4 linked regions of the Notamacropus eugenii genome follow. The protein of the gene in region 1 interacts with the protein of each later gene in a pairwise test. Links are inferred from orthologs where the notes say so. Each region holds a gene or a part of one and is shown in the gene's direction. Other genes may lie near its edges.

Evidence for each region.
Region 2: the proteins of RTN4 (region 1) and CERT1 interact in binary tests that used the Homo sapiens proteins (3 or more experiments, as listed by UniProt). The link is inferred for Notamacropus eugenii from reciprocal best matches to the Homo sapiens genes RTN4 and CERT1.
Region 3: the proteins of RTN4 (region 1) and SYT16 interact in binary tests that used the Homo sapiens proteins (3 or more experiments, as listed by UniProt). The link is inferred for Notamacropus eugenii from reciprocal best matches to the Homo sapiens genes RTN4 and SYT16.
Region 4: the proteins of RTN4 (region 1) and SNX15 interact in binary tests that used the Homo sapiens proteins (3 or more experiments, as listed by UniProt). The two-hybrid records come from large-scale screens. The link is inferred for Notamacropus eugenii from reciprocal best matches to the Homo sapiens genes RTN4 and SNX15.

What each region holds. Positions count from the first base shown.
Region 1 is NC_092872.1:651,279,889-651,287,088, forward strand, and holds the start of RTN4 (reticulon-4), read left to right. Parts: upstream 1-4,196; 5' UTR 4,197-4,506; coding exon 4,507-5,074; intron 5,075-7,200. UniProt on the Homo sapiens protein: Required to induce the formation and stabilization of endoplasmic reticulum (ER) tubules. They regulate membrane morphogenesis in the ER by promoting tubular ER production.
Region 2 is NC_092875.1:468,909,110-468,916,540, reverse strand, and holds the start of CERT1 (ceramide transfer protein), read left to right. Parts: upstream 1-4,415; 5' UTR 4,416-4,822; coding exon 4,823-4,918; intron 4,919-7,431. UniProt on the Homo sapiens protein: Shelters ceramides and diacylglycerol lipids inside its START domain and mediates the intracellular trafficking of ceramides and diacylglycerol lipids in a non-vesicular manner.
Region 3 is NC_092872.1:305,332,865-305,339,838, forward strand, and holds the start of SYT16 (synaptotagmin-16), read left to right. Parts: upstream 1-3,958; 5' UTR 3,959-4,251; coding exon 4,252-4,264; intron 4,265-6,974. UniProt on the Homo sapiens protein: May be involved in the trafficking and exocytosis of secretory vesicles in non-neuronal tissues. Is Ca(2+)-independent.
Region 4 is NC_092873.1:17,764,129-17,771,203, forward strand, and holds the start of SNX15 (sorting nexin-15), read left to right. Parts: upstream 1-4,059; 5' UTR 4,060-4,393; coding exon 4,394-4,663; intron 4,664-5,698; coding exon 5,699-5,734; intron 5,735-5,910; coding exon 5,911-6,031; intron 6,032-6,472; coding exon 6,473-6,588; intron 6,589-6,709; coding exon 6,710-6,866; intron 6,867-7,075. Other genes in the region: ARL2 (ADP-ribosylation factor-like protein 2), read left to right, coding at 1,321-1,385, 2,062-2,172, 2,254-2,416, 3,122-3,202, 3,283-3,417. UniProt on the Homo sapiens protein: May be involved in several stages of intracellular trafficking. Overexpression of SNX15 disrupts the normal trafficking of proteins from the plasma membrane to recycling endosomes or the TGN.

The sequences.
Region 1 (7,200 bases):
TATTTGAGAAAAATTGCTGGGAAAACTGGAAAGCAGTTTGGCAGAAACTAGGCATAGCAACCTCTCATACCATATACCAAGATAAGGTCAAAATGGGTAAATGATTTAGACATAAAGGGTAATTTTATAAGCAAATTAGGGGAGCATGGAAAAATTTACCTGTCAGGTCTATGGATAAGGGAAGAGTTTATGACCAAACAAGAGAAAAAGAAGATCACAGGAAGTAAAATGGATAATTTTGATTACATGAAATAATTTTTTTTACACAAACAAAACCAATGCAGCTAAAATGAGAAGAAAAACAGTTAACTGCGAAATACTTTTATAGCAAGTTTCTCTGATAAGGGCCTCACTTTTCAAGCATATAGGTAACTGAGCCAAATTTATATATATATATATATATATATATATAAAAAGAACCATTCCCCAATTGATAAATGATCCAAGGATATGAACAGGAAGTTTTGATTAGAAGAAATTAAAGCTATCTGTGGTCATATGAAAAAATGCTCAAAATCACAACTGACTAGAGAAACGCAAATGAAAACAACCTTGAGGTACCACCTCACATCTATCAGATTGGATAACAAGAAAGAAAAAGGAAAAGGCAAATGCTGGAGGAGATATAGAAAATAGGGACACTAGCAAATACCATTATTGGTGGAGTTGTGAACTAGTCCAACTATTTTGGAGAACAATTGGCAACTATCCCCAATGAGCTATAAAACTATGCCTATCCTCTGACACATCAATACTACTACTAGGTCTGTATTCTAAAGAAATCAAAGAAAAAGGAAAAGGACATATATGTACAAAAATATTTATAGCAGCTCTTTTTGTGGTGGCAAAGAATTAGAAATTGAGGGAACGTCCATTAATTGGAGATTGACTGAACAAATTGTGATATATGATTGTGATAGAATACTATTGTGCTGTAAGAATTGATAAGCAGGATGGTTTTTAGAGAAAAACTGGGAAGATTTATATAAACTGATGCAAAGTGAAGTAAGTAGAACCAGACCATTGTATACTATAACAGTAATATTGTACAATGATCAGCTGTGAATGACTTAGCTATTTTGTCATACAATCATCCAAGACAATTCCAGAGGACTTAAAATGAAAAATGCTTTCTCTAGAGAAAGAACTGATAGAGTCTGAATGCAGATCAAAACATCCATTTAAAAAAAAAACTTTTTCCCCTCTTTTTTCTGTCTGTTTTCTTTTGCAACATGGCTAATCTGGAAATATATTTTGCCTGACTGCACATGTATAAGCTATAGCAAATTGCTTGCCTTTTCAATGAGTGGGGGAGGGGTGGGAGGAGGGAGAGAATTTGGAACTCAAATTTTAAAAAAAGAATTTAAAAAATATTTTAAAAAAGAATTAAAAATTGTTTATGCATGTAATCAAGAAAAGTTAAAAAATAGATAAAATAAATTCAACATGTAACTTTAAAAAAGAGTATTCAGTACAAAAGGCCTCCAAAGAACTCTTCTATCCATCAGAGAATCTAGTATTATGCTGGGCACACAGTAGGTGCCCACTAAACATTTGTTGAATTTATTTTTAAAAAATGTTTTATTCTGAACTTAATACCAAATAAGATGAGCATTTTCATATAGAAAGAATAGAAAAAGAAGACTGTACATGATGCTACAAATATATATGCTTTACAGATTGCTCTTTTTAAAAAATATGTAATAAGTTCAACATGTTATTTAAAAAACAACAAAAAAACCCTGTGCCCAAAGGGCTAAAAAAAAGTGCACACCCTTGGACCCAATAATACCGCTATTAGGTTTATATCCCAAAGAGATCAAAGAAGAAGGACCTACATGTCCGGAAATATTTAGAGTAGCTCTTTTTGTGGTAGTAAAGAATTGGCAAGTGAAGGGATGCCTATTAGTTGGAGAACGGTTGAAGAAGTTGCTTTGTATATGTTTGTTTGCATGGGTCCCTCATTATGTTGTAAGCTCCTTGAAGGCAGGGACTGTCTTTTGCCTCTTTTTGTATTTGTGTTTGTATTTGTATTTTTGTATTTGTGTTTAGCACAGAGCCTGGCACGTATTAGGTACTTAGCAAATGTTTATGGAATTAAATTCTCTGAGCTAAACACTCCCATTCCTTCAACTGACCAACTGTGATATAAACTGATATCTCTTCACAATTCTGGTTGCCTTTTCACCTGTCTCCTAAAACTGTTTTTAATCACTTAAAAGGCAATATCAATGGGCACTGAAGTGACAAGTATTAAGGGCTATCTGGCTATGCCATGTCCTATGCTAGGACCCTCTCAAACTTAGAGCCTCCTTCTCTTCAAGGTCCAGCTTGGGCATCACTTGTGCCATGATGATTTCCCTGATCTCTCCATTCTCTAGCTGAAAGTGTTTTCTTTTCTCCTCAAATTTTCTTCCAGTCCTTTGAATCTCTCTTTTGTCCTTTTCACAAACTAACTTTGTATTCTACCTGTGTCCTTCTTGTACTCCCTGCTACCTCTGCTGTCATAGAAAGAGCACTAGTTCTAATTTCCAAACTTTGAGCAAGTCATGAAATATCCCTGGCTCTTGGTTTGCTCCACTGAAAAACAAGGGAGTTGGACTAGATGGTCCCAGAGGGCTTTTCTGTTGTTCCAGATCATTGTTCTGATGACAAGGGCAGTGGTGTTTTTCATCTTTTTATTTCCACTATTTAGGACAGTAGTTTGAACACAGTGGACCATCAATCAATCAGTCCACAAGACTTTATACTGGGCTACGTACTGGGGATACAAAACCACAAATGAAAGAGCCCTTGCATCTACATGTCCCAGTACATAGAGAAAAATCCAAAATGAATATGAGATAACTTAGGTGATGAGGCCACCGGCCCTTATATGCTTGTTGAATTGAATCTTTGAATTAAAGGCAAGTTACAATTGTGGGAAAGTCCTGGGCCATAAAGTTTCATAATTTATGTTTAATCTGCCTTAGAGAAGTGATCTGGCCAAGTAGAGAAGTTTATCATATTCACATACATGAAAAAGGATACATTCAACATTCCCTCTTCCTGGAATGAAACTGCATAGTCAATTTCAGCCTTAGTCAAGATCATTTACAAGAGTCATCTTTTGGACATGTTTGAGTTTTGTTTAAAAGATCATTCTGAATAACCAGCAATTCCCAGTGGCAAATGAGGGGGACACCTTGGAAATGAAGACTACATTGGAAACAAAGAAAATCTAAATTCCTAGCTTGGATACGTTGGAACCAGTTTCTCCAAATTTCAAGCATTGTAGAAAGTGAAAAGAGGGCCAAGTCCCCTCCTACAAATAAAGTGGAGCACTGAATGCACCCCGAGCTTCAGACCCCTGCAATCCTCAGCAACGTTTAATGACAAAACTGAGTTGGCTGGGAATGTAACGGGAATCTAGTTAGCTCCCAGACACAGGCAAAGGTCTTCCCGTTCGGCTCCCACCCTCCGCCCGGATGACTCATCTACCCATCATGTGAAAAGGCCAAGCGCAGGCAGGATGGGCTACAACGTCCTGGCAGGGAGGGAACCGCTCGTTCTCTCCTCCCCCCCCTCCCCCCCGCCCTCACCCCAAGGCTTTGGCGTCTTCTGTCTGCATCCCAGGTCACGGACTGGAGGGCACAGAGATTTCTTGAATATGGGGGTTAATTTTGGGGGGCTCCTCAGTGAGAGGAAGAAATCACTTTGGCATTTTTAAGTCTTTTAAGTCTGTCTTGTTTATTGAATTAAAAGACTCTCCCCGCCTCCAGGATCCATTACACCTATTATTTTTTCCAGTTCCGTTTTCTGCGAGGGAGGATTTTCCCTTCTCCAAATGCCTCCCAGTCCCCATATCGGGGTACTTCTCCCACCCTTTAACCGATAAACCTGCCCAGTCCAGGCAGCCAGCCCTAGCCCAGGCCAGCATCCCCAGGAGGCCTGGGCCAAATCCCCTGGTCCCTAAGCCCCTCCCATGGAACTTCACTCCCCTCCTCCCCTCCCGCGGCTAGAGTGGGGCTGCAAAGCCGGCCCCTTGGTTCCCCTTCTCGTTCTCATTGGACAGCTCTGCCCTTCTTTCCCCGGATCCCACCGCCTATTGGCTCGTGCTTTTCGCAGGCCCGGCCCTTCTTTTCGAGCCCCGCCCCGCCCCGCCCAGTGCCGCGTTTCTCCCCGCCGGAGTCGCGCCAAACTGGGCGGAGAGTGCCTTGGCTCTGCCATCTCGCCTCTCTCCGCCTTCCTCCTTCCCTCCCTCCTCGGTCTGGGCGGCGGCGGGGCCTGGGGGCTGGTGGGTGGCGCGGCGCAGCGCAGAGCAGCGCAGCTGCGGGCGCCGAGGCAGGAGGAGCCGACTCATTGTTCCGCAGCCGCCGCGCCCCTGAGCGCCTCTCTCTTGGAGTCTCTCAGTCACTCCCCGTCTCCGTTCCTCTCGGCGCTTTCCAAGAGAAAGCCCTCCCCGCCCCACAGCCTCCCTTCCCCGTCCCTCAGCCCGGCCGCAGCAGCATCCTTCCCAGCCCGGCCATGGAAGACCTGGACCAGTCGCCCCTGGTCTCCTCTTCGGGCGCCGCCGCGGGCCCGGCCCGGCCTCAACCAGAGTTCAAGTATCAGTTCGTGAAGGACCCAGAGGACGAGGAGGAGGAGGAGGAGGAGGAAGAGGAGGACGAGGACGAGGACCTGGAGGAGCTGGAGGTGCTGGAGAGGAAGCCGGCCGCCGGCATGACTGCGACGCCGCCGCCGTCCAACGCCGCCGCCGGCGCCGCGCCCCTCCTGGATTTCGAGAAGGAGCCGGTGCCGCCGGCCCCCCGGGGACCCCTGCCCGCGGTGCCCCCCGCAGCCGCCGAGCGGCAGCCCCGCTGGGAGCCCAGCCCGGTGTCCTCGTCCTCGCCGTCCCCGCCGCCCTCCGCAGCCGCTGCCGCATCCTCGGAGGAAGACGAGCCTCCTTCCCGCCCCCCTCCCCCTCCCCCAACGGCCGGCGTGGGCCCCCACCCAGATCCTGCGCCCCCTGCCTGGACCCCGAGCACCCCGGCTCCGGCCGCGCCCCCCTCCACCCCGGCCGCGCCCAAGCGCCGCGGATCCTCGGGCTCTGCCGGTGAGTGAGCGTCCGGCCCGGGGGGAGGTGGGGGAGGGGGGTCCCGCCCGCTGCCCTTCCCACCTCCTTGGGTGTGGAGCCCCCTTTCTGCCCCCCGAGAGCTTTGTCTGCCCCTGGCGGGAGCGAGGTCGGGGGAGGAGGGTGGGGCCGGGGGGGGCGATGGTGGTGGTAGTCATGGTGGTGATGGTCAGCCTGGCCTCCCTCCGACTTTATTGTCTGCGCCTGGGCGGCTGGGGCCATGTGCGTTCTGTGGCAGCCCCGCAGGGCCCCCACACCCTTCCCTTCCCTTTTCCCTCTTTGTTCCGGGCCGGGAGAGACCTCGGAGGATGCGTACATGAAGGAATGGAGAGGGGGGGCGGGGGGGTTGGATTTTAGCGTGGTGCCCGGACCCATGCTGGGGAAGGGGCGCCCTCCTGCCGCCGCTGCAGCCTGCCCTCGGCGGGCCCGCCTCTGGCTCCGTGGTGCCGGCAAGAGCGCCCCCAGCGGTGCCGAAGGGGCGGGGGGGGCCGTCGCCACCGCCCAGTTCTCCCGGACTGATGCCTATGATGTGGCGTCTGTGCTGGCAGCTGCTGGAGCCCTGGCTGGGTCGTGCCTTGGCAGGAGGGGCACACCTGCCGGCTGTCTGCCGCAGCGTGGGACGGGCTGCGGGAACCTGTACAGGCGCATGCGGTCCCTGAAAAAGCCAAAATGGTTGACGCTAAAAGACGAAGCAAAAAGCCCCCGAACCTGTGGATTCTTGGAATAGAACCAGCCAATCGAGAAAAATAACATTTTTGAGATGTCAGTGGTTCTTTGGGTAGTGGTAGATTTAAAGCATTTTTCTTCCTGTCCGGGCATTTGAACTGGTACTTCTCTTTGCAGCATTTTATTATGCAGGATTTTTTTTTATGTTGGATCGATTGGTAGCAATGAATTCTTTTTAGTTTAAAAGACTGAATTCTGTAAAGCTTGTGAAGATTACTTCAACTCTTATTTGAATACTTGAATATGTAGTACTTTTATTTTTTATGAATCTTCCATCTTAGCCAGGAGTTCCTTTTGAAAGGAAACTTAAGCTTGTTAAAAACTCAAGAAACTTCATTTGTTTATTGGCTTGGATTTTTTGATTAATACAAGATACTGCTGGGAAAGGAAGCAATTTTATCAGTATAGCAATTATGTAGGTGGTCAAGAACTAGCCATTGTAATCTCCTGCAGAATTTATTAATAAAACCATAGAACCCGTCAGGAGTTAAAGAGATTACCAAGATATTAACCTCATCTTACAGAAAGGGAAAACCAAGCCTCGGAGGAAAAGTGACTTGTTCAAGGTCACACTGTAGTATTTTTTTTTTTCCCTAATGAGAAACTAAGAAAAGACCTCTTTGAGTGTTTTGTATTTTGCTCAGACACAAAAGAAAATGTTATTAAGGTGTAAAGGATATCCAAATAATGAGGCTAGTCATTCACCTTCCTATATTTTGTATCAGAAACTTTTGGTTGTGGAGACTATCAGATATATTTGGGAGATGTCGGAAAAGATGGAAAAATAAAAGTATGAAAGAGAAGTAATTTGAAATATGGAGACAGTATACCTTAGACAAAAGAATATTATTTAGCGATCTTACAAAGACTTTTGGAAAGGAACTGAACTTATGAAAAGTGATTATTGATAAAACTCTCCTAGTATCCTGCTGACTTATGGGTTCAGAGGGCAAAAAGGGGAAGACTTGCTTATTTGGAGATGACCTTTATTCAGTTCTGTTTTATTAAAGATACACTGTGAAATATGCTGTGAGAGAGAGATACAAATTGAAAAATGACACAGAACCTGCCCTCTAGGAGCTTAAATTGGGGGGGGGGGGTGAGGAGGGGGGTGACATGAGGAATATGCAGATATTTGTAAGAGTGACATTAATATGACAAGTCCCACATAAATGAATGCCTGCAAACAATATTGAATCGAATTATAAAAAACATTACAGTCATCTTCACAGTTAGTGTTTGCCAAAACCAAGAGCAATTTATTTGGGAATGTTGTTTGTTCTTTGTTTCACATAGTATCATGTTTTATTAAACTAGCCCTGAAATCCATGGAAGTGTATAGAATTTAGAGCTGAATGAGACATTAGCAATCATTTACTTCA
Region 2 (7,431 bases), on another chromosome or scaffold:
TATGTATAATATACAAATCATAATTATGGCATATATAGAATTAAGTATTAATAATTACATGTGATTGATAAAAGGTCAACAATAAGCCTTTTCTTTTTTCCTTATTTAAAAGATATATTGGAGAAAATTGATGTTTTTGTTTTAAAGAGATAATTATCTAGTCTAATATAGAGATATAGATATAGATATAGTATATAATATATTTTGGCCAGTCATCTAATTTAAATACATTTCAAATTTTATTTTAAATATTTTATAAATATTTTATAAAATTCTTCTACCTAAACTCTGTTAGGCATATGCTACTTAACAGCTGCATATACTACAGGTTGTTCAGTAGAAAGAGTATCAGATTTTGATTCAGAAGGTCTAAATTTGAGCCACTCTCTGACACTTAATATTTGTGTAACTTTGGGGGCAAGACCCCCTTACCTCACTGGGCCTCAGTTTCTTTACGTATGAAATGAAAAAGTTAGATTACATGATCTCTCAGTTTCCTTCAATTTTTAAAATTCTCTATGAGTAATAAGAAATCAACATAAGGCAGTCCCAAGTCCATAAACAAGTTATGTTCCAACAGGTCTTTCTGAGTATGTTCTTTGGGCCTCATACTTTTCCAGACAATCAACACAGCAATAAGTTCCCAGGCTGAAAAAAAAGAAGTCTATTTATTTAATCAGTAATGTAGCCACTACTGATTTAGTACTAATAATGTTATAGGACCTAGTTGCTATTTCATAACAACGTTTCTATGAGAAAGTATGTTTCCAGTTCCACTTTGGTAAGTCAGGAACATTCTGCCTCCATGGACATGACAGCCTGACAACAGAAACTTCTTTCATCTCCAAGACATAGAAGGTGGCTCCTCTGATCTGGGACTGGAATAAACAGGGACCGGAGATGGTTTCCAATTTCCCAAGTGTTTTTCTGTGTCCTACCACGGCTGTCGGTCACCCTCAAATATACCTGCATACATACGTGATCGCCCATTTTGTGGATACAAATATTTACACACATACTTACAGAAGAAGCTTCTTTAACAGTTTGCACAAATGTGCACAGATGAATGTTTCTAACAGCTGCTTATCTTTATGCAGCCAAGTATTAAAAAGATAGCTATCCACTAACACATTTATACAACTGAACATTCTACCTTTTGAAATACACATACATGTATAAACACAAATGTCTACAACTATTTCTACAAATCCCTCTATAATGCCATTACATATATTGTTTCCCATTCATATACATAGGTACATAAATCTGGTCTCTACATGTGTTCCTTCACACAAACACATGGCTATGCTATGACAAAAGATGGGAACAGTCAGTCCATGCTGAAAGGGCCCAATGATAAACTGCTGGGGGAGCTGTGGCATGCATGGTCCAGCCATTCTGGATTTTGATTTGGAATTATTTAAGAAGAGTAACTAAACTGTTTATATCTTTGATCTTGCAATCCCACTAGTAGTTATATATCCCAAGGAAATCAAAGATAGAAACAAAGGTTCAATATATGAAAAATATTTAGAGGAACACTCTGCTATAAATATTGGTAGCAACAAACTGGAGACTGTCATTATCCTTCAAGTGATCAATGATTACAAAAACTATGGTACGTGAAAATAATACAATATTACTGTGCACTAAGAAATGATGGACATGGAATTCGGAGAAATGTGGGAAAATCTGTATGAAATGACCCAAAGTAAACAGTGTACACAGTGACTACAGTAATAAAAATACCACCAATAAGAAGTCAAATTCTAATTAAATGAAAAGCCCATCAAAGTCCTGGAGAAGAGATAATGAAACATCAATTCTCACTCATGGCAGAGGTGGAAGAACCTAATATTAGGCCAGAATCTTACACAGTGTCAGATTCAGTCTTTATAAAATTGTTTTTCTTTGTCACAGGAGAATGTGACTGGTGGAGTGTGGTGGGGGTAGAAAATGAAAGTGATATAAAAACCGAAAGCATCAAGAAAGTGTATTTTTAAAAATAACGGTCTCATGTCTCCTTTTTAGTGAGAAGCTAGAACTGTTTCAATGAGAGAGAGGAGTGAAAAAGGGACCTACTGCTCAAAGTTCCTTTCCTCTTCTTTTACCTAGTGTTGGATAAGTGATGTTTTGGTGGCGAGTGACTACCCCAAGGAAGTAAAACTCAGGGCAAGGAAAGGGCAGTGAGAGGCTGGTGAGAGGCACAGGAAACAGGGTCTGCAGCAATCAGTGGGAAGGAGGTGGTAGAGAGAAAGGAAGGGGTGTTTTTGTAGTTATGTTTAGCAGGGATGACAGTTATGAGAGAAATATTGTTGAACTGGTGTTAGTAAATAGGAGAATGACTGTAGGTTCTCCCTTACTATATAAGATAGGAAGTCTATATAATACTTTCATATTAAAGATAATTCTACTGTAATTTCTTCAAGATGATAGTAAGACAGTAATAAAATAAATCTTCATTGTTATGTATTCAAATCACTGTAAAGAGGTCTTGTACTTGGAAACCTGAAAAGAGTTTAATTATATAGAGGAACAAAGCGGCAAGAACCTTTAAAAAAATTTTCATATTAATACACAAAGTAACTTCACACTGAGTAAGCACTACCACAGCTCTAACTGCTGATAGTCACAAAGGTATAATTAACTTAAGATGCACAAAATATAAGAATTTAAAGAAATATATGATGCTTCTATAAATATGAACTATTATGAAATCAATTTCTTAATAACTCATTGTCTATTTGAAAAAAAATCACAATTTTAAATACGAGATATGTTTTTAAAAATCCAGCTTGGTAACAGCATCAGTAAATACGCAGTTAAAAACAAAATTTGATCAGAATATCTCTTATGCTTGAAAAACATTCTGGATCAGGGAAGATGAAAGAGCTCTTCCATCTTATTTTCTGAATGACAGCTGTGACTTTTAATGCTCTAGGTTTATTTTTATAAGCTTTCAGTTCAATAAAGATACTAATTTGAACTTGGTTCCACACTATGTGAATACAACCTGAAGATTTTACTGTAAAACAGGTATCTCTCACATATTAGCCAGAAAGAAAACATAACCGAAACTCATGATTTTTAAGTCAGGAAATCAAAACCGACCATGGGGTAAGAGAGGCACAAGAGGCGCTCCCGTAAAACTGCCACAACACCCTGTCCACGGTCATACAGCTAACTGAAGTGTTTGAACAACGCACACACACCCCCATAAACAAGGCTTCCAGAAACGTTCGCGTTTCCTCTGGAGTTTAGGGGTAAGGCGGTTCTAGTCTGACACAGCCAAAACACGTAATTCTGAGGCTCCACAAAAAACACAGTTTAGGTCGACCAGCATCCCGGGCACCCTCAAATCAGCTTTGGGGAACAAGGCACAAAATAAAGCATGTTTTAGGCTACAAAATGTAAGCAACGACCATCCTGGGGCAGAAGGTCTGCTCTGGGGGGGTGGCTAAGGGCAGTCATCTCCAGTTTCACGAGTGCTCTCTGAAGCCAGCCCGGGCACTCTGCCCTAATGCCAGCCTTGTACTTCATACTGAGGGTGCCAACTCCCGCTCACCCCTTAGGAGCCCCGGGGGGGAGGGGCTGGGGGGTGGAAGCCAGCTGCACCGTCTGACTTAACCACCCGGAGGGCGCAAGGCATCGTGCCCCGGAGACGCCCCCACGCGAGAGGCTCAGGCGCCAGTGGTACCCTGCTCGCCTCTGCCTGTCACCTGCTTCCCGCAGCATCCCTACATGCCCGGGCATCCTCCGCCGTACGACCGGGGCTCCAGGCGTGCGCACGCGCACGGACACCCGGGCACAGCGGGCCTGGCCGCTCGGGGCCCGGCCGCTCGGGGCCTACGCGGGGCATCTGGCTGCCCCCAGGGAGGTGGGGCGCGAAGCGGCGTAAGCGCCCAGAGCCCTCCGAAGGCGTTCAGGGTGCCTCGGCCTCTCCAGAACCTACGGGAAGGAGCTCACGTCCGGTCCCATCCGGTCCGGTCCAGCCGGCTCCTCACAAACGCTCTGGGCCAGGGGTTGAGAAGAGGGTATGTGTGGGAAGAGAATCCAGGGGCCGCGAAGGATGCCCACCCCCTGCCCCAGTATAAAGAGACACCCCCGCCGGATCCACTCACCGAAGGGCCTCAGAACCGCAACTACACCTCCCGACGAGCAGCGCGCTCGGCGGAACACTACACCTCCCAAGATGCAGTGCGACCAACCCCGCTCTCTGCCTCGCATCTTCCCGGTTACCAGAAGCCGGGAGGCGGACTGGGATTAGGGGCCGTCTCTCCGCCTCCGCCAGAGCCGCGGCCCCGCCCCTCGCCGGCTCGAGCCGTGCGCGTTGCGTCACACGCTGGTGGGCGGGTCGAGGAGGGGGCGGGGAGAATGGGAGGGCTGAAGGGGAGGGGTAGAGAGAAGGGGGAGGGTAAATAGTGTCCAGAGCCGGGAAGATGGCGGCGGCGGAGGTGTGAGCGAAGCCCCGTCGCTGCAGCTGCGTGTTCTCCTCCCTCCCCTCACCTTCTTCCCTTCCACCCCTTCTTCCCCCGACCTCGGCACCGACGGGGGAGCGCCTTCGGTGGCGGCGCCCGGCGAGTGCGGGGGGACGGCGGCGGCCGACGGCTGGAAGGGCAAGCTGCCTTCGCCGCTCCTTCTCCTTCCCCTTCCCCGTCCCCGTCCCCGGTCCGCTCGGCGCCCGGCCGCTCGGGCTCCGCGCCGTCTCCTCCTGCCCCCGGCGCCGGGGCGGACCCCGGGCCCTCCCTCCCGGGGGCTGGGCGCCTGTGCGGGCGCAGCGCAGGCCGCGGGGGCCGCTCTCCTGCTCGGCTGTCGCGCCTCCATGTCGGATAACCAGAGCTGGAACTCGTCGGGCTCGGAGGAGGATCCGGAGACCGAGTCCGGGCCGCCTGTGGAGCTCTGCGGGGTGCTGAGCAAGGTGAGGGCCGGGGAGGGCCGGGCCGGGGAGGGCCGGGCCGGGGGCCGGGGGGCGTGGGCCGGGCCGGGCGGGGTCCCCGCCGCTGGGGAGGCCGGGGCGGATAGCGGGGCTCCCCCGCAGCCGGGGGGGTGACAGGAATTGTGTCATAGTCAGGGCCGGGAGAACCCGGCGTGGGGGCGCTGCCGCCGCACCCCCAAACGTCGGAAGGTGTCGTGCTGGGGGCCGGGGCGGAGGCCGCGGAGGTGCGGGCCGGGGGCGGGGCCGGGGCAGAGCTCCGAGGAGGGGGGGGCCTGCCAGGTTAGCCCCAGGTAGGACTGGAGACAGCTGCCCCGCCCCCGCCCCGCCTCTCGTGTGCACGTGACAGACACCCGAGAAACCTTCGTAATAACCTGGGACACGTCAGACCCGAGCCGACCTTTAAGTTGGGGCGATCCATGGGGGGCGGAGGGGGGAGTGAGCCCGACCCTCCTGGGCGGGGATCCTCGGGGCGCTGGCCGCGCCGACTTGGGGGGTGTCTGCGGGCCTCGCGAAGGACTCGGGCTGGTACTTGTGGTCCTAGTCTTGGGGTGCCAGGTCATGTGCAGCCCCGGAGCCTTGGGAAACCCCCAGGGCTTCCTTCCATAGTTCGTAGTTCTGGGGAACCGTGTGGTCCTGGTTTGGGGGTTATTTCGTGGCGTCCTGAGACTCGGGGTATCTTTACCCTCCATGGACTGGAGTGAAAGAGGTTTAAAAAGCGAGATTCAGGTCCTGGCAGACTGAACAGGGTATTTTGTGTTGGGACGCTGAAAAGCTTCTGGAGCCCTAAGCGCACCCCACCTTAGGATCCCTGGGTCTCTCATCTCAGGGTGCTGAACGGACGCTTCTGAGCACTTGAATAGGCTTTGGAAAAACTTTACTGGGATATCCGGATAATAACCAGCGCTTCCCACCAGTCAGGTGTTTATTGAGCACTTACTGTTTACCAGGGACTGTGCTGGGGATGCCAAAGCAAAATCCATGTGAGTAGAGACGGTGAGAACGTTTGATTGTCTCCTGCTCTTGATAAGCGTGAGCAGCAACATCTCACAGTATTTCATTGTGTGGGATGAAGATCTGCTTCTAGGCACAATCTCCACGCACGCACGCAGGCAGCCACATGCCCAAATACACCTGTCTACCTCGGCCTCTTGCCCCCACGGTTATGACTGATTGTGGGCACAACCCTCCACATGACTGCTGCCTCCTCTGTCTAAATTGGAGGGGTTACCAAACGCTAGTTTTAAGTCCTTAACAAAATGTACAAATGATTTTAATGGCTTCGGCACCACCGCCACCCCCCGCACACACTCTTGTAAACTGAGAGAATATTCTCACAAACTTTTTTAATCTTTTTCTGGTTAAGGTTCAGTTTTCAAATTTTAGAAGTTAAAGGGGGCAGCTAGGTGGCACAGTGAATGCAGCACTAGCCCTGGAGTCGGGAGGACTTGAGTTCAAATGGGGTCTAAAGATACTTGACACTTACTGATTGTGTGACTTTGGGCAAGTCACTTAACCTCAGTTGCCTTGCCTTCCCCCTTCAAAAAAAATTTTAGAAATTAAGGCCTTAAAAATATTTATTTTCAAATTCAGTTTCTGTATTGAGTCAACAAATGTTAGAAGTGGAAGGGGCTCAGGAGAGCATCTACTTTACCTTTCTTATTTTACAGAGGAGGGGATGGGGGGGGTCAAACAGATTAATTTATTCAGGATCAAGGAACTAATAACTGAAGAATCCAGGTTTTCGAACCTGTACCCAGGTATAGTCCTAGACTACCTTGTATTGCCTTGAAATTATATATAATGAAGAAACTACACTTAACTGTCAAGAAAGCACTTTTCTCATGAAATTGTAGGTAATTTTCTTAAGCAGTTTTGGAGTATTTTAACAAGGATATAGTTTCACCTACCTGACTCTCCCAACAGTAATTCTGATTATCAACAGTTGTAATGAATATCTGTGTGAGGTACAGTGGGGATTTTCAGTAGTATAAAGTAGTTATGCTAGAAGTTTGGAATTTAGTAAATGCATTTGTAAAGCTAGGTGAGTATCTTATTTGCATTCGTGGTTTGTGTAGACTACACTTTACCTCAGAAGGAATTTGTGGAAATGGTACTATTCAAGAAGTATTTGAAGTATGTACTATGTGACTTAAACTTTTTTAGGTAATGTTTGAGTTATAAAATGTAGACATGTTCTGTGCCTCCAGGAAGCTGATAGATTCACTGGGGGAGACAATAATATATAAGTGGTAGTGTAGGATCCAGTGGCATTACATGTGGGGACACCATACATATGGGGTCATCATTATGTGAAATTCAGGGAAACTTGGTGGAATTTGCTTTGAACAGCAGATGAGATCTAGTTTGGCAGAAATTAAGTTGGAGGGTAGTATAATCTGGTTGGGATAAATAAGATGGAGTTCCATTATGAAGGACATTAAATACTAGAGAGAGAAGTTTGAACTTAATTCTCTAGGCATTTGGGGTTTTTTTTT
Region 3 (6,974 bases), about 350 Mb from region 1:
CACCCCTATGTAACATGTGGAAGGCAGTCTTTTCTATATGGTAACAACTTTTAGTGACTATCATGCTATTAAGGTGAAGCAAAATATAAATCAAAGAGATGTATTTTTGCCAAAGGTGTTTTCCAGTGTCATGGAAGCTATCTAGCATAGTCTCTAACAGGTGGCAGGGTCTTATGGATGTCATGGTGTATGGATGATCTTGTGATGATTGTAGAATATGCAGAATATGGCAATGTTTCCATAGCTATTCAAAAAGTTGAGTTTAATTATCTATGCAAAAACCCCAAGGGAATGAAGAATTTCTATTGTCTAGACTGCAATATGGAGTTGGAAAGACAGCCCCTAAATGTATCAGTATGCATATCTTATATATATATATACAGTGAGTTGGATTCATAGTTAGAGGAGAATAGGCTAGCTTGCTTTTGGGAAATTGCACAGTGCTTTTTTTTTTTAATGACCTCAAGCTTCTCCCCTGAGATAAAGACTCATCTTTTAAAAATTATATAAATAATATATATATATTTTTTCAGTCAGTAAAAATCTACCTTATTTTCTCCCCCAAACAAACCTCCCTGCCTAAAAATGAGAATTAAAAAACAACACCCTGTTGCAAACATGGTCAAACAAAACATATTTCTGCATTGAAGGTCCATCTTTTTAACAATAATATTCTCCTAGTGGTGCTGGATGTCTGTGTGGTATGAAAGCCAACAATTTCCAAAGACTTAAAATTGAGTGTTACCTGAAGAATATGAGGTGCATGGTGGTTGGGAGAAGGCTATACATTGTTACTAGTGAAGAATTGCATAAAAAAAGCATTGTAAACATTGTTGTCCAAGAGATAATAACTGTAAAAAGATGTGGACTGGTCATGTGACAAGAATGAGGGATAGTCCACAAGCTCCGCCAATATCCATTCATTGTCAAGATATTAAGGAGGCCTCCACCATTTTTGGTGCAGCACATGTTGAGGATTACTGAAAGGTCATGAACCAGAGATGTGAAGAAGGACAGAATAGTTTAAAAAGGTACCCACATTTATAAGATCACAGATCCATTAAAATAACAAAATATCAATGTTGACAAGTTTCAATTCATACAATGATATTTCCATTAGTTGGTTGTTGGACAATATTGTTGTTGTGGTTTGTCCTTCCTTCTCGAAGAGGACCATGCTATCAGGGAGATGATGATATGACTTGCAGTTGACTTTGATTTGAGTGAAGAAGGGTCGTGTAAGGTCACCAGCCTCACTTTCTCCTCCTGAGCCATCTGGGTCTAGCGGCCAGATATTCATCAGGGTGACTGGAGATGGCCCAGGATGCAATAGTGCTAGGCCTGAATCAGGAAGACCCATCTTCCTGAGTTCAAATCTAGCCTCAAACATTTACTAGTGGGAGGTAAGTGCTATTACTATGCATATTTGACAAATGAGGAAACTGAGGCAAATAGAATTTAATTAAGGCTAGGTTGCACCGTGGAGAGAGTATTGGACCTGGATTCAGGAAGACCTGATTTCAGATCCAGCCTTAGACATTTACAAGTTGTGTGACCCTGGAAAAGTCACTTAGCATCCATTTGCCTCAGTTTTATTAACCAGTAAAATTTGAATAGCAACAGCACCTACCTCTCAAAGATTTGTGGAATAAAATGAGATAACTTTTGTAAAGTCCAGGGCCTGGCACTTAGTAGGTACTTAATACATCTTCATTTCCTTCCTTTTATATCCATTCCAATGCCCTTTCCTTTGTACTATCATGCCTCAAATAGATCAATTTAAATGATTAATTATTACTCTGACTTTTCATGTCTATATTTCATGAAAGAAACATACCACGTTTTCTAAACTTTTACTTTAGTTTCTGAGTAAACCTCTTTTTGCAAACTGGGGAGAAGAGGCATAAGACCTAGGATTTGAATAATCTCATATTTAGAGTATCCATAACAAGATAATGTTTATGAAAAGTCTGAAAACTGCCTTTTCCACTATTTAACCATTATCCCTGTGGAATTAGAAGTAGTCCATATTGTACTCAGGGACCGTTTTTCATTTTTCTTTGTTTAATGTGTTGTTATAGCCAAAGAATTCACCATCTAACGGTCAACTTGCTGGTGAATGACCCCTACGTGCTTAGCTAGTTGGGCCTTGGATAGTAAACTGAGTTTCTTTGACTCTGTCTTTTGAAAATACAAATGCAAAAATATTGATTTCAAAATAACTCTTGTTAGGTACAAGTCTTATGTCACCTATGTGTTAAGAAAACCCAGGAGACTAAGATTATTGCTTCATATAACAGTGTTTAAAGGAATTCCTTTTTTTGTGGTGACACCATGTGTGTATACATCAGTATAGTCGTATTAAAAAAAAAATTCAAGGCTTATACCTATTGCTTAAATCTAAGGAACCAGTGTACTTCTCAGCATTGTTTTATGTGTATTCTAAATTCCTCTCTCCTGCTTGGCATTTTATATACCTGAATTGGAAGAGTGGAATGTTCTGGAAAATGGAACCTTGAAATGTGATTTCACTAGAAATACACCAAAATCTTTTTTTTAACCTTGATGACTTAAAGGTGCAGGTTATTTGTGATTTGTTTGTGGATCTCTCAACTCCCGAAAATTTTTTACTGAGAGTATAGTTTGGTTTGAAGAAAGGATTCTGTTGACTCTTTAATAAGTGTTCAATACAATAAAAATGGATGCTTAGTGTGGATATTTTCATAATTAACTTTTGGTCAATTTTTACTGCCATCATATTCTCCTGCTACACTTAGTATTTAGATAAAGAATAAAGATTTAGATCTTTGCTGATAAAACTCTTACTCATCTGATGTTCATAATGCCTAGATTATTTGTTTTAATACGTCATTACATCATTAGCCTAGAATTTCTTGGCTGTTAATATTATGAATTTGGTTAAAACAGCAAGTATAATTATAGAGTACATTCCCAGGAGTACTTTTCCCATCAAGATGAGCTCTGGTCCAATCTTTACTAGATTACTGAGTCTGATTTCTCAGCTTCACAATGTAGAGGAAAGTAGATAACTTGTAAGAGCCCAAAGGATGTTTACAGTTTCAAAAAATAGATCTGTAAGAGAGAGTCTAACTAAAGTCGGTGGCACAGCAGATAGAGCATCAGTTCTGAAGTTAGGAAGATTAATCTTTCTGACTTCAAATCTGTCTTCAGACACTTACTGTTTGACCCTGAGATTGTCACTTAGCCCTGAATACCTGAGTTCTTTGTCCGTAAAATGAACTGGAGAAGAAAATGACAAGCCACTCCAGTATGTTTGCCAAGAAAATCCCAGATGGACTCACAAAAAATCAGATATGATGGACCAACAGTAAACTGTACATACCCTTTGATCCAGTGATACTACTACTAAGCCTATACCTCAAATGGATAAAATAAAGAGGAAAAAAAAAACCCTCATCTGTACAAGAAAAAGCCGTGCTTTTGTAGCGGCAAAGACCTGGAAACTTAGGGGTGAACCTGAATCAGGGAATGGTTGAACAAATAATGGTATATAAATGTAATGAAGTGATATTGTGTTGTAAGAAACGATGAAAAGGAAGGAGAAACCTGGGAAGACTTATATGAACTGATGCAGAGTAAAATGAGCAGAACCAGGTGAACAATTACACAACTACAACATTGTAAAGGGAAACAACCCCGAAAGACTGAACTCTGATTTAATGTAATGACCAGTTGCCATTCCATATGCCCTTATCTATTGGGTAAGAACAAGCAAAAGGGGTGTCACCTCTTTTTTCATCAGGATTTTGAGGGGTTTCGAAAGCTGTAAACAAGCACAAAGCTGGGAAGGCATCCTCAAAAATTCTGGGGCCAGAAAATCCCTCAAGAATCTCCCAGTTGCATTGTTTGGGGGAGGGAGGAGGGGACGAAGAGGATGAAAGGAGGAGAGAGAATGCGAAACTGGAGACATAGATCCCTCACTGGGCTTGCCGAGTGAGGTGTCTGGCCGCTCTTGCTCCTTCGTGGGGTCAGCCCGCTGTGCCCCACGGCTGCTTCCTCCAGCAGCTGCCACCCGGGGGAATTGCGGCGGCTGCGGCCGCGCTTGGAAGCCAGGACGGAGAGGGCAGAGCAGTACTAGGAGGGAACGCTGCCCGGCTCTTGGCAGCGGCCGAGGACCGGGGAAGGAGAGCTCGCGCTCGCACAGACCCGGGCGGCCTTCAGGCTCCCTGAGAGCCCAGCGCTGCGCAAAGCCCTGTGCCGGGCTAAGCCATGGCTACTGACAGTAAGTCTCCCGACAATGCAGAATTGGGATGAGGGGACTGATTTGGGTAGGCGGGCGTCGTTGAGATGCCAAATCCTTCCACTGATCCCTTCCCCCATTTGCCTCCAGCTCCCCGCATCTGCCTCTCTGCCCCCGGGAGTTTGGGAAACAAGCGAGAGATGTGCTACCTCCCTGGCAACCAGTGCTTGGCACTGCATATATATACATCACCGAGGCTGCTCTGGCCCAGATGCATCTGAGTGTGGGAATGTGCTCTGTCCTTTGGGATGTGTGTGTGTGTGTGTGTGTGTGTGTGTGTGTGTGTGTGTGTGTGTGTGTGTATGTGTGTGTGTGTGTTGGGGGGTGGGGGATGATACTTGGAAACCGTGTTTGATGCTTTCCACGGTGAATTGAAAGTGGCTGTATAGCGCTGGACAGATACCCTGGTTGGTCAGGTTGAGAACCTATAGTTCCTCTGAATGGCAGATCCCCAGGACGCCCTCCTATCTTCCCACGTATCAGTTAGACTCCTGTTGTCTTTTCCGGTTTGAGGTTTGTCTTGGCCACAGAGAGTTCTTGTTTGGGTTCCTTGTATATATCTTTTAATAAAGTTAATAAGAAAATAAAATAAATAACGATAAGATATTTAATAAAAGTATTGACACCTTTGAGCCTTGCTTTGTGCACAAGCCCGAACCCTAAATATTTTCCCCAAAGCCAGGATCTTGTTGGCTAGGAAATGATTAGTAGTGAATTACATGTGGTAAGTAGAAACAATGCTGAATGGAGGAGGGCAAGGTCATTGTGCTGGCAAAGACATTGTTGGCACTTAGCATCATTGGTTACTTTCAGAGCTTTTGAAAATATAATCACATTTATGAAAGCCCATTAAGTCAAAAGCATACAGAAAGTATACAAGAAACATTTATTAAGGAGCCACTGTGTGCAGAACACCTAGCTACATGTAGGGCATATATGAAGACGTGATAGATGTGGTTCCTTACTTTAAAGGTGCTTATACTTCATGAGGGGATAAAATACCAGTTCATATGTTTTAATATGCAATTTACATAAATGAGGACCAAGAGTCCGTATTTATATTTATGTACATAAATAGAGACAAAGCAAGTTTCTTCTGTGTAGGTCCTTAAAGGATGGTTCTTATTCCTTTGGAGGCTCAAGGAAGAGGGGACTCAAGGAAGGCTTTTTGGAGGAGGTGGCTACTCCTCTGTGACATGAAGACCTGACTGGCTCAAAGAAACCCATGTCCTGTGGTGTGAACTGGGGTATTAAGTATAGACAAGAGCTGTAGTTTCTAGGAGTAGACTTAGGGAACTCTGGGTATGTTCAGCTGTTGGAACAAGTCATCCTATAGGAGAATTCATGTGCCCTCTAGACTTACTCAAGATATTCTGTTTTAATTAAAATTTTCAATTTTATTACAAATTTGGTAAACTTCAAAAGATGTGAACATGTCAATTTACAAAGAAAAACAAAAAATAGGATTGTGTATGAAGCTATGAACTTCTGTTATGTATGGATATCCCCTCACTAGGTATAGTTTGTGGGTTATTTTTTTTTAACATAACTGAAATTTAACATGGCAGCTCAAACCCTGCCCTGCTTTTCCATGTTCCCTTTTGAACTTCTTACTGTTCTCTGTTTATTTTAAATGGCTCACATATACTATTTTCTTTTTTTCTTTCTCTTTTGTATTCCTAAATGTCATTTTATTTTCACTCCAACTCTGGAAGGCAGGTACTATAATTATCCCTGTTTTACAGATGAGGAAATTGAGATAGCTTCTAAGTTTCTGAGGTTGAATTTGAACTTGTTTTCCTGGCTCCAGGTTTAGTCCTTTATATACTGGGCCATCTATTAGCTGCCTCTACTAGTGATGATCTGCAGCATTTTTTTCACATGATTGTTGATAGATTTCATTTCTTCATTTGAGAAGTGACTTTTCATATCTCTTGACCATTTATCTATTGGAGAATGGCTCTTGTTCTTATATTTTAAATCAATCCTCTATGCTTCTTGAATAGCACACATTTATTAGAGAATGTTGCTATACATATATTAAAATGTTTATTTTCTCCTTTTAACTAGATTAATTTTATTTGCAAGGAAATTTTTCAAGGTTATTTGATCAAAATTGCCTATTGATTAACTCTTCTAGTTTTTAAACAGTATGGATGGTTTTGAAGATTACTACTTTGTAACAGTTTCAGATGGAGGCCTTCTTCCTCTTTTCCTTTTCCCTTTTAAATTATTTCCTTTGGGATTCTTGATGTTTTATCCCTCTGCAAAATTTTATAAAAATAATACACACACTGATGAAGGTATGAAAAGGAAATATAGACAAGGCTTGGGAAACAATACTCTATAGAAGACTACACCTTTAAAATCATGCAATAGACAAAAGTAGGCAGAGACTGCTGTGATTATTGTTCGTTGGCTATAGAAAGAATTGATTTAGGTAGATCAAGATGCCATCTTAAAGGCTCTCCTGCAAGCTGGCTTCTGAGCCTATGTCAAAATCATTTAAGACTCTTGGAAAGATGTAAAAAAAAGTACAGGAAGGGGAAAATGGCCTCTAGTTATAAAAGCATTTATAGTAGCTCCTTTTTAAAAAAAATGTACTTCATTTATTTATTTATTTATTTTTAGTTTTCCCTTTTACTAGATTTTGAGTTCCAAAATTTTCCCCCTTCTCAACCATACCTCCCTC
Region 4 (7,075 bases), on another chromosome or scaffold:
ACGTCGTCCATCTGATAAGGGGATGGACAGAGCAGCTCCCGAGCCGTGGGCATGTTCTTTCTGCAGCGTGCCTCCGACATCAGAGGAGGAGAAAGTCCCACCGCCCTGCGGACAGACACCCTGACCTGGACAGGCCTTTGGAGCTGGCAGAGCCCAAGTTACAGCCCAAGAGATCTGGGTTTTTCCTTATCGCTAAGATGCCAGCAGGGTTTGGTAAGGGGGTCCCCAAAAGGTGTCCTCTAGGTTAAACAAAGGACCACTAGGTCCAGGCTCTTCTTAATCCAAACTATAACAATCTAAAGGTTATAACAAAGGGTTATCAAGCTCTGGCCTTTACTGCCCAAAACCCTCCCAGGCTCTAGACCAGACCCAAAGCAGGGGGGCTGGGGGAACCCTGCAGGAGAGTCTTCAAATGGATGCAGGGGCAGCTGCGCGGGGGGCGGGGCTGTCCCGCCCAGCACTGGTAGTGGGGGGCCCGGGGTGCAGAGGGCTACCCCCCTCTGTCTCTACACCTTCCTCCCTCCGCAGTCAGGGACCCCGGCCTCTCCTGGCTCTGGGCAGCCTCCCCGGCCGACCCCTGCCCCCCGACTTCCTGCTAGCCCCAGCTGAAACCCCACTTTCTACAGGGGACCCTCCCCAGCGCCTCCCTCCGTGAGCGCCTCCCCATCTACCCTGCCTCCAGCCTGCTTTGTAGGCACCAGCGGGCACGTGGTCTCCGCATCAGATGGTAAGCGCCTCCAGGGCAGGCACCTGCCGGGCCTTAGGTATGCCCGCTGCTTTAGTTCTCCGCAAACCGCGGGCACTAAATAAGGAGGGCTTGACCCGACACGGCCTTCTGGGAAATGGAGTCCAAAGACTCTCCCGGCGCCTCATGGGAAGTGAAGTCTTTGTTCATTTCCTTCTCCCAAGATCCAGGGGTAGAGGTGGGAGGGAAGCCCATCCGCCGGACCTCGAGGACTAGGCTGACCCCGCTCAGGGGAGGGCCTGCCCTTGAACCCAGCTCTGTGTCCAGCCCCCTTCCACAAGTAGAGGGGTGCGATGTGAATCGGGATGCACCTCTTCGCGGCGCCCTCCCGTCCCGGGCCGGCACACCAGGGGTTAAGCGGCGGGGGCGGGCCAGTTTGGGCCCAGCCGCCCCCGTAGCCCCGCCCCCGCCCAGCAGGGCGGTGCCTTCTCCTGCCGCCGGCTCCGGCGAGAAGGGGCGGGCTCAAACAAGGGCCGAGCCAATCGGGTTCCGGTGAGGCGCGCTCTAGCCAATGAGAGGGGGGAGCGGGGTCCCGGACTAGGAAGGCGCAGCGGCGGGGAGGGGAGGCTGGGACCATGGGGCTCCTGACCATCCTGAAGAAGATGAAGCAGAAGGAGCGGGAGTTGCGGCTCCTCATGCTGTATCCTCGAGCTCCCCGAACCCTTGGGTGGCCGGGGGCCAGGGAAAGGCGCGGGCGGGCGCTACCACGCGCTCCCCCGGGGTGGGGGGAGGGAGGACGCGCCGCTCTGGGCAGGATCGTACCAACTACCCTGCGCGGGTTACGTAAGCCGGGATCGACCAATAGCCCTAGGAGGCGGTGGGTTGGGAGTTGGTCCGTACCATCCGGGACAAAAACGGGGGAGTGCAGGCTGTAGGGACTGCCCCCACGCAGAGGGGGGTGCGGCTAGAAAAGTGGAATGGGCCAACTACCCCGGGGGCATGGAAGGGAGCTCGCGTGCACTGGCGGGGAGGCGGGAGATGGAGGGTCCGGGATTTGGGCTAGACCCTAGCAGACTGGATCTCGGGAGTCCCCGGAGCACAAGTCCAGCTCGTTGCCTCCTTGTGTGTCCCAGGCACACAGTAGGAGCCTCATGAATGCATGTTGCCTTCCCTCTCATAGGGAGCTTCACTTTGTGCTAGGCTAGTTCTTCGAGGGCAGGGCCCGAGCGGGTTTCTTACTGTTCATCTTGGTGCCCCTAGTGCCAGGCACACAGTAGGTGCGCACCTAGTTTGTGGAAGGATCGAGGTGACCTTGGGCAAGTCACTTCCCTCCCTTGGGAGGTCCTGCCTCCGAGGCTCCTTAACTGCCGCCCCAGCGGTCTGGACAACGCAGGCAAGACCACCATCCTAAAGAAGTTCAACGGGGAGGACATCGACACCATCTCGCCCACCCTGGGCTTCAACATCAAGACCCTGGAGCACCGAGGGTGAGGGACGCCCCTCCCCAGGAGCTGGGCGCACAGCGCGGGCCGGCCGCGCCCATCCACCCTCTCTCCCTTCCTCCTCAGGTTCAAGCTGAACATCTGGGACGTGGGAGGCCAGAAGTCCCTCCGCTCCTACTGGCGCAACTACTTTGAGAGCACAGACGGCCTCATCTGGGTGGTGGACAGTGCTGACCAGCAGCGCATGGAGGACTGCCGCCGGGAGCTGGAGAGCCTCCTCGTGGAAGAGGTGCGCCAGCCTGGGGGCTGTCAAGTGGGAGGAGTCTGAGGAGGAAGGCCCTGCCTTCTCACTTACCAGAAAGGGACACTGAGGCACAGGGAAGAAGGAGCTCCTGTCTTTGGATCTCCACCACATGACAGAATGCCTAGCTCATTGTAGGGGCTTAATAAATGCTTGCTTGGTTGAAAAAAAGATCACAGGTCCACATTAACTTGAATCAGCATACATTCGTTTCCTGCTGTTTACCAGATACTGCGCTAGGCAGCAGAGATTAGCAAAGATATGAGAAAGTCCTCAGAGAGGACTGGTCTAGTGGAGGGTAAGACAAGTGCAGAGGCAGAACAGGAAGTAAGCGTTGTAAGATGAGGTTATGGAGTGAGGAGGGCAGATGGCCAGAAATGGAAGAGAATGAATTGGGGGGGGGGGGGTGCAGGGAGTCACATGACAAAGCTGGAGAAGTAGGTGGGGACTGGGATGCCAGGCAGCCCAAGACTGGGCGAGATGCCCAGTCCAGCTCTTTGCTCAAAGACCAGGCAGCTGTTTCCTGTGGACTTTTCTTGTCATCGTATCTCACTGACAAGCGCCCACAACCCCATTCACGTCCCTTTCCCTAATGCTGCCCTGGGAGTGGTGCTCACAGTGGCTCATAGGCTGGCTAGCTCAGAGCTCCCAGGTTCCTTCCTGGCCCTACCACCACCTTTCTTTCCCTCTTAGCGCCTGGCTGGAGCCACTCTCCTGATCTTTGCCAACAAGCAGGACCTCCCTGGGGCTCTCTCATCTAATGACATTCGAGAGGTGAGTTGAGGCCTCCAGGTGGCTGGATGGGATGGAGGGTTGGGAGGGCTGCTGTCTGAGAGTCACTCTCCCTCCTTCAGATCCTGGAGTTAAATGCCATCCGCAGTCACCACTGGTGCATCCAGGGCTGCAGTGCAGTGACGGGGGAAAACCTGCTTTTGGGGGTTGACTGGCTCCTGGATGACATCTCCAGCCGAATCTTCACTTCAGAATGACCCCTCCCCTCCTTGCCCTGGGTCACCGGTTCCTGGACTGACCCCTCGACCCAGCTGAAGGGCAGCCCCTCCACACATCTCCAGCTCCCACAAACCATCCCTCTGTCCTGCTTCTCTCTGATCCAGGGCCCCCCAGGGAGCCAGGACTGGGGGGGGGAGGAACGGAAGCCCAAGGGACCCCAACTAATGCCTCCTCCCTGTCATAACCAGATGCTGCTTGTGCTATTTAACAGGAGAGACCCTGCTGCTCTGTTGGAGAGCCTTCCTCCCTGGGGAGGAGTGGCCCCCATTCCCTATTTCTGTCCCTCCTGCAGCTCTCTGTCTGTGGATTGGGGGAGACTCCGGGAGGGCCCCTTCCTCCGATCAGCTGTGGGAATAAAGTCCTCTGTGCCCCTCGCTCCTGGCTGCTCTTCTTCCTCCCAGGCTCCTCTGCTGTCAAGGGAGCTTCCACACTCCCTCCCCATGCTCCCAAAGAGAAGGGTGGCCCACTCTGCCAGCAGTTGAGGGAGGGCAGGAAAGGCCAAGTCCAGAAGGCAGCTCTAGAACTGTCTGGTGTGGATGAGGACCTGGAAGAAGCTGGGCCTGCCCCGCCACCCTCCAGGCCCCTGGCCTTGGCCCAGCTCGCAGTAAACCAGTGGCCTAAAGTGATCTGGTTCTCAGTGGCCCTTGAAGTGTTGGGGGAGTGGGCTTGGAGGGGGGTGAGGGCCTCAGCGGCCCCACCAGGGGACTCATCAGTGCCAGCCTGACGTCTTCCGCCGTCCGGGGCCTCAGTTTCCCCACGTGGGAGTGGGCTGGGTTTTCCCTGAAGTCTATCTCAGGGCCTGATATGCAGTAGGTGCTTAATGAATGCCTGTTGCCTGGAGTCCAGGGCACCGATGGCCTTCCCCAGGCGCCAGGGGGCGGCCTTTCCTACGGAGTAGCTCATTCTACGCCTTTCCAAAGAACAAAGAGTTTTAGGACCGTCCCTGCGTGCACCATGGAGGGGCATAGGAGTCAGGAAGAGAGGCCAAGGAGAGCCTTGCGCAGGCGCAGAAGAGGCGGTGCCCGTCGGAGGCTGGACGGGAGGGGAGGGGAGGGGACAGCGTGGAAGAGGAGGCCCGTGGCCAGGCCGAGGCGCCGGAGTCCTGCGGACTCCGGCTCCTCGAGGATGTCCCTCAAGGCTAAGGACGACTACCGGCGGCTGTACACAGTGTCGGACACGCGGACCCATCCCAAGGGCTACACGGAGTACAAAGTGACGGCGCAGGTGAGTGACCGCAAAGCCCCTTTAAGAGGAGGAGGAGAAGAAGAAGAAGAAGAAGAAGAAGCCCCTTTAAGTAGGCGGGGCCGGACCGTTCCATCCTCGAGAGTCAGGCAGGGGTGGAGCCCCTGAGCGAATTTAGGACTATACTAATTTACGGGGGAGGGAGGGAAGACTAATCTGGGTTCCTTTAACGGAGACGCAAGGGGCGGGGCCAGCATGGGCGGGGCCAGCATGGGCGGGGCCTAGCTGCAGAGTTGTTTGGCTGGGGTTACCTCCACCTTGCGCAAACAGGTTAATAAAGAGCTGGGAGCTGCTGCCTCCCTTCGCGAAATGACCCCCGTTGCGGCCCGGAACACACCGGGGGCGGCTGGGGAGGGCGGGGCGCGTTGGGGAAGCCTCAGCTTCCTCCTCTGTGAGGCGGGCACCCCCTCCCAGGGTGGCTGAGGCAGCCGAGGTCGCAGGCGGTGAAAGCACCCCCGGAGGTCCGAGCCCCGCTTAGCGTCCCCGGCGCTTAGTAGGACTTGAGCAGCGCCGCTTCCTGGCCGGCTTCTCCTCCGCTCACTAAGTCATTAATGGCGTCGGCTGGGGGGTTTTCTCCCCAAAACCTCCTGTGCTAGGGCCCCCGGGGCCCCACGCACCTGTCCCGCTCAGTGCCCTGGGGGCGATCGCCGAGCCCCACCCCCTCCCTGGGAGGCTGCTGCTCCCTTGCCCAAGAGGATCTGAGTCTGGGGGCCCTCCGCGACCTACACGTTTTCCCATTTGGGGGGGAGGAATGCTGTCATCCCCATTTGCAGTGGAGGTCAGATGATCTGCCCAGGGTCACCCAGTTGGCACCTCAGACTGGATTAGAATTCAGGTCTTCCTCCATCTAGGATCCACTCCCCTCCCCCACCAAATGGCCTCTTCTCCCCAGTTATTGTGGAGGCAAGGGTGGCCTTGTCCTCTGATGTGGGGGGGTCTTGGGGGGCTGAGCCTGGGGCAGGGCTGGGGGGCCAAGCGGGTTAGCCCCTCACTGGCCCTGGCTTTCTTCTTCCTCAGTTCATCTCCAAGACGAACCAAGAGGATGTCAAGGAGGTGACTGTTGGGGTGGGTGGGGGGCGGGTACCCTTGTCTCCTGCAGGCAGCCCAGGGTGGGGCGGGGGGTGGAACGGCCAACTGCCCGGATCCAGTCCAGTCCCCTCTGGGCCTCAGTTTCCCTGAGTGCAAAAGGAGGGAGCCAGACGGTGGCTTTGCGTCCCGCTCGGGCCCAGGTGGTCATCTGGAAACGCTACAGCGACTTCCGCCGCCTGCATGGGGACCTGGCCTACACCCACCGAAACCTCTTCCGCCGCCTGGAGGAATTCCCAACCTTTCCCCGGGCACAGGTCTTTGGTGAGTGTCCGAGGCCGGGCCAGCCCTCAGTCGTCCAGCCTCCACAGTTGTCTGGCCCCAGCAGCTGTCCAGCCCTCAGACATCCAGCCTCAGTGGCTGCTTTGTCCAAAACTGTCCTGGACCACAGGGCCTGGGGGTGGGCAGTGGGGAGCACTGGCCCAGACTGCGTTGGCCACCCCATGCTGGGTTGTGACCCCCAGCCAGAAGTGGACTCTGCCCACCTCCCCCAGGGCAGCTTTGGCCTAGCCTCCACACTAATCATGGGATGGGGCTGTGTCATAGTCAACGGAGAAACACAAGTTTTGATCCAGAACAGAAGAGCGTTGGTGGGTGGTTTGTTTGGTGGGGGCCTGATGGTGTGCCGGTGTAGGCCCCCCAGCCTAGCCACTGCCAGGGGGAGGGGAAGGAGGCCTAACGGCTCTGGCGTGTCCTTGACCACAGGCCGATTCGAAGCCTCAGTGATTGAGGAGCGGCGGAAGGCGGCGGAGGCCATGCTGCGCTTCACTGTCAACATTCCTGCCCTCAACAACAGCCCACAGCTCAAGGAATTCTTCCGTGTACGTGCCTCCCCCTCCCTGGGAGCCATCTGGTGCCCATCACTCCTGCCTTGGTCTTCCCCTTGGGTGGATTCAGGGATCTCTGAGCACTGCTCCTGGATCCAAACTCAGTCCTTTGTAGGGTGGGGACGTGACCCGGCCCTTAGAGCCCAGTGACCTGCACATCCTCCCGCCACCCCTGGTGCCCACATCGCCCTCGGAAGATGCCCACCTCCCCCAGCCTCTGCCAGCGGAGCGGCTGGGCCGGGAAGAGCCTGAGGACGAGAATGAAAGGCCAGGTACTGAGGCAGGGAAAAGCTGAACTCAGGTCTGCAGGTGCTCAGCAGACACGTAGCAAGGGCTGCCCTTCCCCAATACCCCCATTTCTGATAAGTGCACCCCACTGGGGGATAGCCTGGAGTGGGCCAGTCACCTGACTGCTCAGGGCCTTGGTTTCTAGATTTGTAAGATGAGAAGGTTAGACTGGACCAAAGGCCTCAAAGTCTTG